2 linked regions of the Coturnix japonica genome follow. The protein of the gene in region 1 purifies or fractionates together with the protein of each later gene. This does not show direct contact. Links are inferred from orthologs where the notes say so. Each region holds a gene or a part of one and is shown in the gene's direction. Other genes may lie near its edges.

Region 1 (4,440 bases):
AGAAAATGTCTGGGGAGGGAGGGGAGAAAAAAGCAAAGAGAAACAATAAAAATCCATGCACAATGCCAGCTGCCATTGGAGGCTGAAGGTTTGTTTTCAGAGCACTGTCTTTACTTCCACTGCTTCCAGTAATTTCATCAGTCTAAAGAAATTTGTACCTTTTATATTTTTGCTCTGCTTCCAGTGAAGGTTTTTATGGAAGAAGGCTTTTTTTGAATGTCAGGCAAGTTAAGCCCCACACCTTCAGAAGAGCTCTCTGAAAAAGGCTGAGTGCTGTGCTGTGGTTGCCCAGGGAAGGTACAACAGCCCATGGTGGGCTGCAGGTGATGAAAACAGGTTTGGAACATGCTGTGTACTGTGGGGCAGCAGTGGGCATTCTCCACAGAGGATTCTCATGAAATTTCCAGGAAACCACAAACCATCCCCGAGCACCAAATAAGTATTCTCTGTTCTGATAGTTTGAATTAAGCTTCGAATGCAGGAACTTGTTTGATATTAATTGATAGGATAGAGAAATGCTGTACACTGCAGTGCTCACTGGGAAGGATGCAAATAGCGTAATCATGAGCGAGCTGCCAATAGTTCAGAAAAAAGGTTTTCTGTGTCTATCCCTCCTTGGTTATTCACACTTTAGACAGTTTGGTGGGAGTTCTATGTAGTCTTAAGCTTTCCATGTCCACTATCCTCCCCTAGTAGAAGCAGCAGGCACCCTTTTCCCTGTGTGGGGGAGTGTTACTCGTGATGTCCAAAGGGCAATTGTGGATTCAGAACATTTTTGCATTTTTTTGGCTAGGGATCAGATGAAATTAGAAAGCCATTTGACTGCTCAGTGCTTATACTGATGCAGATGGCTGGGTGATGGGGAGCTGCCTGGGGATCAGCTGGGAACCCACTGAGCTTTGATGTGATCCCAGAGCCATCTTCCTACTGAAACAGAGGGTAATCATTGGGTAAGAATGACTACATTATGCTATTAGATGTTTCAAGATGTCATGTGTTTCTTCTGAAAGCAGCCTTCGGAAATGAGAGTAAAGATCATGAGTCCATTTCTGTGGTGAATGCTTTTTCCTGGTTAGAACTGGTTATTTACTTCAGGCATTAATAATCTCGTGGAGGGACTGCTTAACAAATGTACACCAAGGGAAAACAGTTCTGTGTAGTATGACACCTCCTCGTGGCTTCATGTGTGACCAGTACTGAGAGAGTCAGCTTGGTTCAGACCCAGCAGTGCTGCATGAGGAGCAGGTGTGTCCTGAGGTCAGGTGCAAGCTGTGCTGGGGCAGGCAGGGCAGGATGTGTTCAGAAAACAGGCAGTGCCAGTCTGCAGTCAAAAGCTGAAATGCCTTCTGTTTTTATCTGCGTGCATTTAAACCAGATAAGCTTTTAGCATGCCTTGTTTCACCTCGGTGCAAATTATTACAGGTGAGTGATAACTGAAAATGTGAGGCTTTAAAATCACCGTAATTTTACAGCTGCAGTGTTTTAGTACTCCAGCATCTCCGTTTCCCAAATAAATGTGAAAGCACAGTTGTGCTCAGAGCTCTGTGCCTGTTTTTCACATGATAAAATGCCGCTTTATTGCTTTCTTTCCCCACCCCAATCCCGGGTCCCAATTAAACAGCAACCCCAGGAATCACTTCTCTGTGCACTGATCTGATCTGAAGCCATGAGCAGCTGCAGAAGTTAAGCTGGGCAGGATTTTTCCCTTTGGCACATATTGCATGCCCCTTAATTAGCTGACAAGCACTTGAAAGCTAGTGATTTTCATCCTGCTTTAGCAGAGGGTTCTTCTTTTAAAGATTTTAATTTCTCAGGTTGGAATTTGAGGAATCAGGCAGTGAAACAGAAGTTTGTAGGGTCCAGCAGTCTTACTGCTCTGAGGGGCTTTGTGAGAGGGAACACTTGGGTTGCCGGGTTGCCGGAGACCCTGTGCTCCCTGCAGCTCTCCTCCTGCCAGAGCATGGCATCTGCAGACAGGGATGGTGTTTCCAAAGGGGAAGTGTCACTGCTGAGTTGCTACCAACATCCAGAAACACCGCCTGTATGAAAAGTACTGTTCTGGGGAAATAACCTAGATTTTCACGAGTCTGATTTGGGTGTGTTGCCAGGCAACATGGGCTAACAGGGGTTTGTATGTTTTCTTTAGATAGGTGGAGGCAGTCCCCCTAGGCTTGCAGGTAGGCAGAGGCTGACCCGCTGCAGCAGGACGAAGAGTTCAGCTCTGAGCACTGAACTTTCACTAAGAGAGCTGAGAGAAAAAGCAGCTGGATCAGACCCAGAGCTGACGTATCCTGTTTGATTTCTTTTCCCCTCGCGCTCCGACACGCTTTGTGTTTCGGCAGGCTTTTGTTTCTGCGTACAAGTTGCTGTAACAAACTGGGGAGCGTGTCTGGGGGTGCCGGCGGCGATGTGCTGAGCTCGATGGGCTGGGTTTCCTGCGAAGGCTTTGTTCCTCCTACCACGCTCAGGTCGGTTGTGCAACATGCCCCTGAGCTTTGAGAAGAAAAAAAAAAAAAGTGCTGAGTAATGCCAGAGGTTTCTCAAATGGCTGATGCAAACCTGGAGAATTTGCATCATCATTCAGCTGGACTAACTTGGTACGACAAGAGCTTAAATACAGGTCCACGCGGAAGCTGAGCTGGTTCCCAATGATAGGGCAGTGCCCGTGGGCAGGGTGAGGGTGCAGGTGCTGCGAGCGCTGGCAGGCAGCAGGGCAGAGCAGAGCAGAGCTCTACCTGCACGTAGTAGCAACCCCACTGATAAGAGGTGGCGGAGGAAGAGGCTGGGAGAGGAAAAAGCCTTGAGTTGCTGCTGGGAACTTTTTGGCTGTGCTCGCCATCGGCGTGCTGGTGGCACGGTAGCATGGTGAGGAAAGCTGCTGTCATGACAGTTTCTAATGGGAGCTACTTGCAGGGGCAGCCGAACGGCAGGTTGCCTTCCATGGACAGCAGGCAGCCACAAGAGAAGGTGGTGCTGAAGAAGAAAGTCACGCTGCTGAGGGGGATCTCCATCATCATTGGCACTATCATTGGGGCTGGCATCTTCATCTCACCCAAGGGGATCCTGAAGAACACAGGCAGTGTTGGCATGTCCTTGATGGTCTGGACAGCATGTGGCATCCTCTCGCTCTTTGGTAAGTCTGCTTCCAATTGGTCTGGAGGGGCAGCTGGTGGATTATTCCTATTTTTTGTCTGATTTTCCATTGGATATCAAGGCTCAGCATGGAGCCTGAGGACCAATGGGGCTGCGGAAGGCTTTTGCTCTGCAGAATGCTGCATGCAAGGCACAGCAGTCCACAGTCTTTGTCACCCAGCATCGTGTCAGCACTGGTTGTGAGTACAGGTTGTTTCTCATGGGTTCCTAAAGAAAAAGCAAGTAGCCGCTTTCTGCTGTTAGCTGTGCTGTACATAATATGCTGTTCTTCTGGCTGTAAGAAGTAGCTCACAGCTTGCTTGTGAGGCCCCTGACAGCTGGTGTGCGGGGCCAAGTGTTGAGGTAGCTTTACTTGGTTCCCTGGAGGCTCGGTCAAGGTCTCAGGGAATAACTCCCACTGGGTGTAATCTGTGTTGGTACGAGAGGGAGCAGTGTAGTAACATCAACAGCCCCTCTCCCCTGTCTCATGTTACTGCTTTTCACTTTATTCCCTGCTCTCAGTGTGCCTTGAAAAGTTCAGGTTGCAAGGATGAATGCAGCAGAAACAAATGTGTAAAATGAGTTTTATTGTTGGCCTGTTTGTTGTGACAGTTTTTACTAATTTTGCTGTGTTTCTTTTTAACAATATTACATTCTGAAGAATGTCGGGTGGTTTGTTCTGTTCACAAAGCCCCATTCAGAGCAGAAAACCCCACCCTGACTCCTGGGGGACAGAGGGTCCATTGACCTCCTTAATGAGTTAATCTCAAAGAAGCGGAGGAACTAACATGAGTATTGGCTTTATTTAAAACAGAGGCGACTTGTTTTCTGGCACGAGGTAGGGAGGACAAATAGGGGCTAACACGTGTCTGTCTAATAGGTGGAATGTGCAAATGCCACCCTGTATAACTTGGCTCTGAGCTTAAAAGCAGCATTGAGTGTTTGGAGGCTAAGTCCACCCAAGCCAAACAGACGTTTCAAGAAAGTTAGGACCTGTTCTGGTCAAATGTTAATTGTACTGGCACAATGTGCAACATATTCTGTTGTCCAAATGTTTAAGTCCTGCCGGTAATAAAAATTTCCCTATAGAAACACCTCAAATACAATTTGTAATTCTGTCGTAGGACCCTGGTCTTCAGGTGCAGTCAAAACAGAATTTGCTTAAGCATCTCCCATTTAGCTTTAACTTCAATAGCAGTAATTTTCTGACTGTGAAGTAAAGTCTGTGGAAAAAAATCAGATGGGTTTTCCTAGTCATTTTCCAGATCTCAACGTGTAGAGATCTGTCTAATTTGGTCCAGTAAAAGA
Region 2 (3,814 bases), on another chromosome or scaffold:
TTACTAGCATTGCCATTTTTTAAAACAAGCTCATTTGTTGAAGAGCCATTTCATTTGCGCAGCTGTAGCAGAATGAAAAGATTCATTAATATATTGGCTGGTTCTAGCTATAAGCTTCTCCCAAGCAAACAAATGGGTTCTTGTACTGTACTGCTTTCTTTCAATTTCTTTTCCTCCACAGCAATTTTAAAGTTGTGGTCTGACATTGCCCTAATGACTGATCTTTTGTCCAAATGTCACAGTGGAATAACAGAACAGTCCACTGAATTAATCAAAAAATAACTGTCAAAAAGAAGAATACCCAGTATGTCACCAAAATGAAATGTCAGGGCAACTGGGAGCCCTCTCTGCCCACTGCAGGCACCTTCCCCAGAGCCAGGACACCAGGGGACATGGCCAAATTCTGCTTCTCCTCAGTGCTCAGGAGAGGGGATGGTGAATGCAGCAGTTTTTTTAGCACAGGATTCTTTAATAAGTGTTTTTATAAGGGGTGACAGAAAGCACCTTAAAAAAATATCCACTGAATTGCCAGTTAGGCAATCAGTACAGTCCTCCTGATCTGCTTTCTTGGAGGCTAGATCAAGTCCTCTGGTTGCTAAATTAATGCTCTGTCCACTGGGATAAACTATCGCAGAACAAATCATCAGTCAGTAAGTTTCTTGTTAATAATAATGAAAACATCTGGAACATTCATGAACTACTTGTTGGCTATGCTCAGCAGTGGGGAAAAATATACTTCTTAGTTTGTATTTGCCAGCTGCTTTTAGGAAATGAGATCAGAAAGGCTGGACAGAGGGGAACTCCAATACGTGCTAAAGAAAAAGAACTTCGCAGCTGATTACAGTGTCTAATTTGCTCTATCAGGGTCTAGAAGATTTCAGAGAGGTGCAGATCTGTAATATTGCTTTTTGTACTGATAAAAAAGTTGTAGACCCATGTGAAACACTGTATGCAAATAATTTTAGACATGGAATACCCATGTGGCAACAATGTGGGCCAGAAATATTACTGTCATCACATAAGATTTCAAGCCGTTCAACTGTCACAGAAAATATGTGAGACTAGAAGAACTCATTTGGATTTAAGATTTAATTCTGTCTTAGATCTGAGTTACAAAACTTATTTTAAAGTGCCAAGGGAACCATCTCTATGTTTACAGAGAGAATTTTTGCTAATAAGAAAAACATTTTGTATTTTTAAGGTCCCACCTTATACTTAGCTATCAAATGTAAACCATGCAGAGAACTGTACTTCTATTTTATGAAAGCAGGAAAGTTTTGGAAATTCAGCTTTATCCTATATAGGAATAAAATTAAAAGTTTTGAAATTTCTTCTTATTGACCCTTTTCAGTCTTCTCTCTCTACTCTTTTCTCGTTCTCTTTTCCCCATAGAGCAGGCAGGACCTTAGACTTACGCAATAGCAACCTCTTCAAGAAGTCACCAATGTGTAGAAGTCTTTGCACTCTTTCCAGACAATTTCTAGGCAACTGTCATTGCATATTGGTTCATGGTTCACAATCAAAAATGAAATGTGTAAAAGGTGAAAGATTACAGCCATAAGCTTTGTTAACAGAATATGGAAGTTAGCAATAGTGTGGATGAGTGCAACGTTTATAGCCTGTGTGTGATTCTGTGTGAACTTTCTAGAAACATATATATTTTTATAAGAAAAGTCATAGCTTTTGTACCTCCCTGTGAAATACTCAGAAAGGATATTTGGGCTAACAGGTGGTTTTGTTCTTTAGGGTCTACATCCAATATAAATAGTGATCAGGGACCATACCAGGAAGATGGTGAACCTACTCCTTTCCCTGGAGAGTCCACAACAACAACTGTAACGTCACAACCAAGATCAGCCCAGGTACCAGGTAGGTTTCCAAAGTCATGTATTTTAGTACTGTAGGAACAGAATGACATGAATATGAACTGAACAGACGGAAATGTAGGTCAAGTATCGTTATTCTGGTTTTGTTCTGAATCAGGTAATGTTCAGCATTTTCACTAACAGTCTGAGAAACAGAGCATGTTGTAACTCATAGAATACTCTAGTAATATCTAGAAGAGAGAAGTCGTGTGTTTTTGAGAACAGGATTTAGAGATAAATAATCTTCATACTTGGGTATGCAATCTGAGGCAGTTTGGTGAAGGTAGATGCAAAGCACCATATATGTGAAAATGTTCAGTGTGAAGTTATACCTGAGACAAGCATTGTAGAAAAGGGCTTACAGATTAAAATGGAATAGAATAGAAAGAAGCCAACACAGTGACACAATTGCAAAAGAATGCAAATATATTCTGGGACATATTAACAGTAAAGTCATTTTTAAGACAGAGAAAGTAATTATCCCACTCAGTGTAGATCTGGCAAGTCCAGAGCTGAGGTACTGTATTCAGTTCAAGGCACTGAATCATACAGAAACAACAGGGAAAGACACAAAGTCTGGTAAGGTAAGCGTAGTGTGACGTGCATAAAGAATGGGCTATGGGGAAGGTTGCTGTGAAATTTCCATTTTTAAAAAATGCTAAGAGCAAATAGAACATTTCTCAGGGGTGCTTTTATTCTCTCTGTTTTGCCGGAGTGAAGCAGCTTATGTGATCTCCAGGCATCCCTTCCAGTTCTACCTCCTCATGATATTGCAGTTCCTTTTTATTTTTGTGTTTTAAAGTTTTCCCTAAAAATGCTCCTTAACTTAAGATTTTAAGTGACAAAATGAATGTAGACATTTCACTCTACCTTCAATCCATCCTACTTTTGCACCTGGGACTGCAGATGTCTCAGCCTTTTCTCCTGTTCTTGAAATAAATCAGTGATACAACAGCTTTACACTTATGTCAGCCAAACTACAGTTCTTGTATATGTTAACATTGGACAGGCATTACATCAGAGTTGGCCTGGGCATAGATGAGCACTTTTTTTGGCCATGTAGGCAACACGGCTGATGAAAATGTATTTAATTTGCAAAATGAGGAAATACCCACTTAAACTAGAAAAAAGTCTTAAAGTTTAAATAATGCTTGAGTGTCCATGAAACTCTGAAATTACGTGGGATGGATTAACACATTCCTCTTCCCTCCATCAACCCCCAGAATGGCTGATCATCGTTGCTGCTCTCCTGGCACTGGCATTGATCCTCGCAGTGTGCATTGCCGTTAACAGCCGGAGGAGGTAAGTTACCCTGTACTTCTCCAAACACGCTGAAGTGTGATGGGGGTGACAGAATGGAGCACTGACACCATATTGTTAGAGGCCATGTGAAATAAGAAAGATATCAGGCACACGGTGAGACAGAATTATCTACAGCTTTCTTTAAAGTTAAGTGGCTCTGGAGTTACACGCCCTGAACAGCACAGCTTATTGATTTATATCTCACTCTGCTATGCTTATAAAAGCAGAGGCTGCCTTTGTTTCCTTCCTCATACCCAGAGTCACCATAGAAACAGACAAACAGGGCCAGGATGACTAATTATAGATTGCAACCGACAAGAACTGAAACGGTCTCAATGCTAAAAATTACATCCCAGATGCTGTGAGTGGAAAATATCTCTTATGTAGGGCTGCCATGCAGCTGGGAGTGAGACCCAAGGAGAGACAGTGCGTGTGGGTGTGAGTATGAAATCGTGGATCAGACCCTAGCAGCATACACCAATCCCTAGGGAATAATTTTTCAAGTAGGGATGTCATCTAGTATGCTTGAAACAGGTGGAATGTTTTCTCTTGCTTTAGCAAGATCAAATAAACAAGAGATTCATTTGTTCTGATAAGCACTAACCTGCTGCAGACTCGGGTAGGGTTAGCTGGGTGGTGGGGTGGGA

Evidence for each region.
Region 2: the proteins of SLC7A11 (region 1) and CD44 purify together in Homo sapiens (affinity purification with western blotting; 3 studies listed by BioGRID and IntAct, with this or other methods). This does not show direct contact. The link is inferred for Coturnix japonica from reciprocal best matches to the Homo sapiens genes SLC7A11 and CD44.

The regions. Positions count from the first base shown.
Region 1 is NC_029519.1:25,381,545-25,385,984, reverse strand, and holds the start of SLC7A11 (cystine/glutamate transporter), read left to right. Parts: upstream 1-1,485; 5' UTR 1,486-2,862; coding exon 2,863-3,133; intron 3,134-4,440. UniProt on the Homo sapiens protein: Heterodimer with SLC3A2, that functions as an antiporter by mediating the exchange of extracellular anionic L-cystine and intracellular L-glutamate across the cellular plasma membrane.
Region 2 is NC_029520.1:5,853,918-5,857,731, reverse strand, and holds part of CD44 (CD44 antigen), read left to right. Parts: intron 1-1,746; coding exon 1,747-1,869; intron 1,870-3,088; coding exon 3,089-3,167; intron 3,168-3,814. UniProt on the Homo sapiens protein: Cell-surface receptor that plays a role in cell-cell interactions, cell adhesion and migration, helping them to sense and respond to changes in the tissue microenvironment.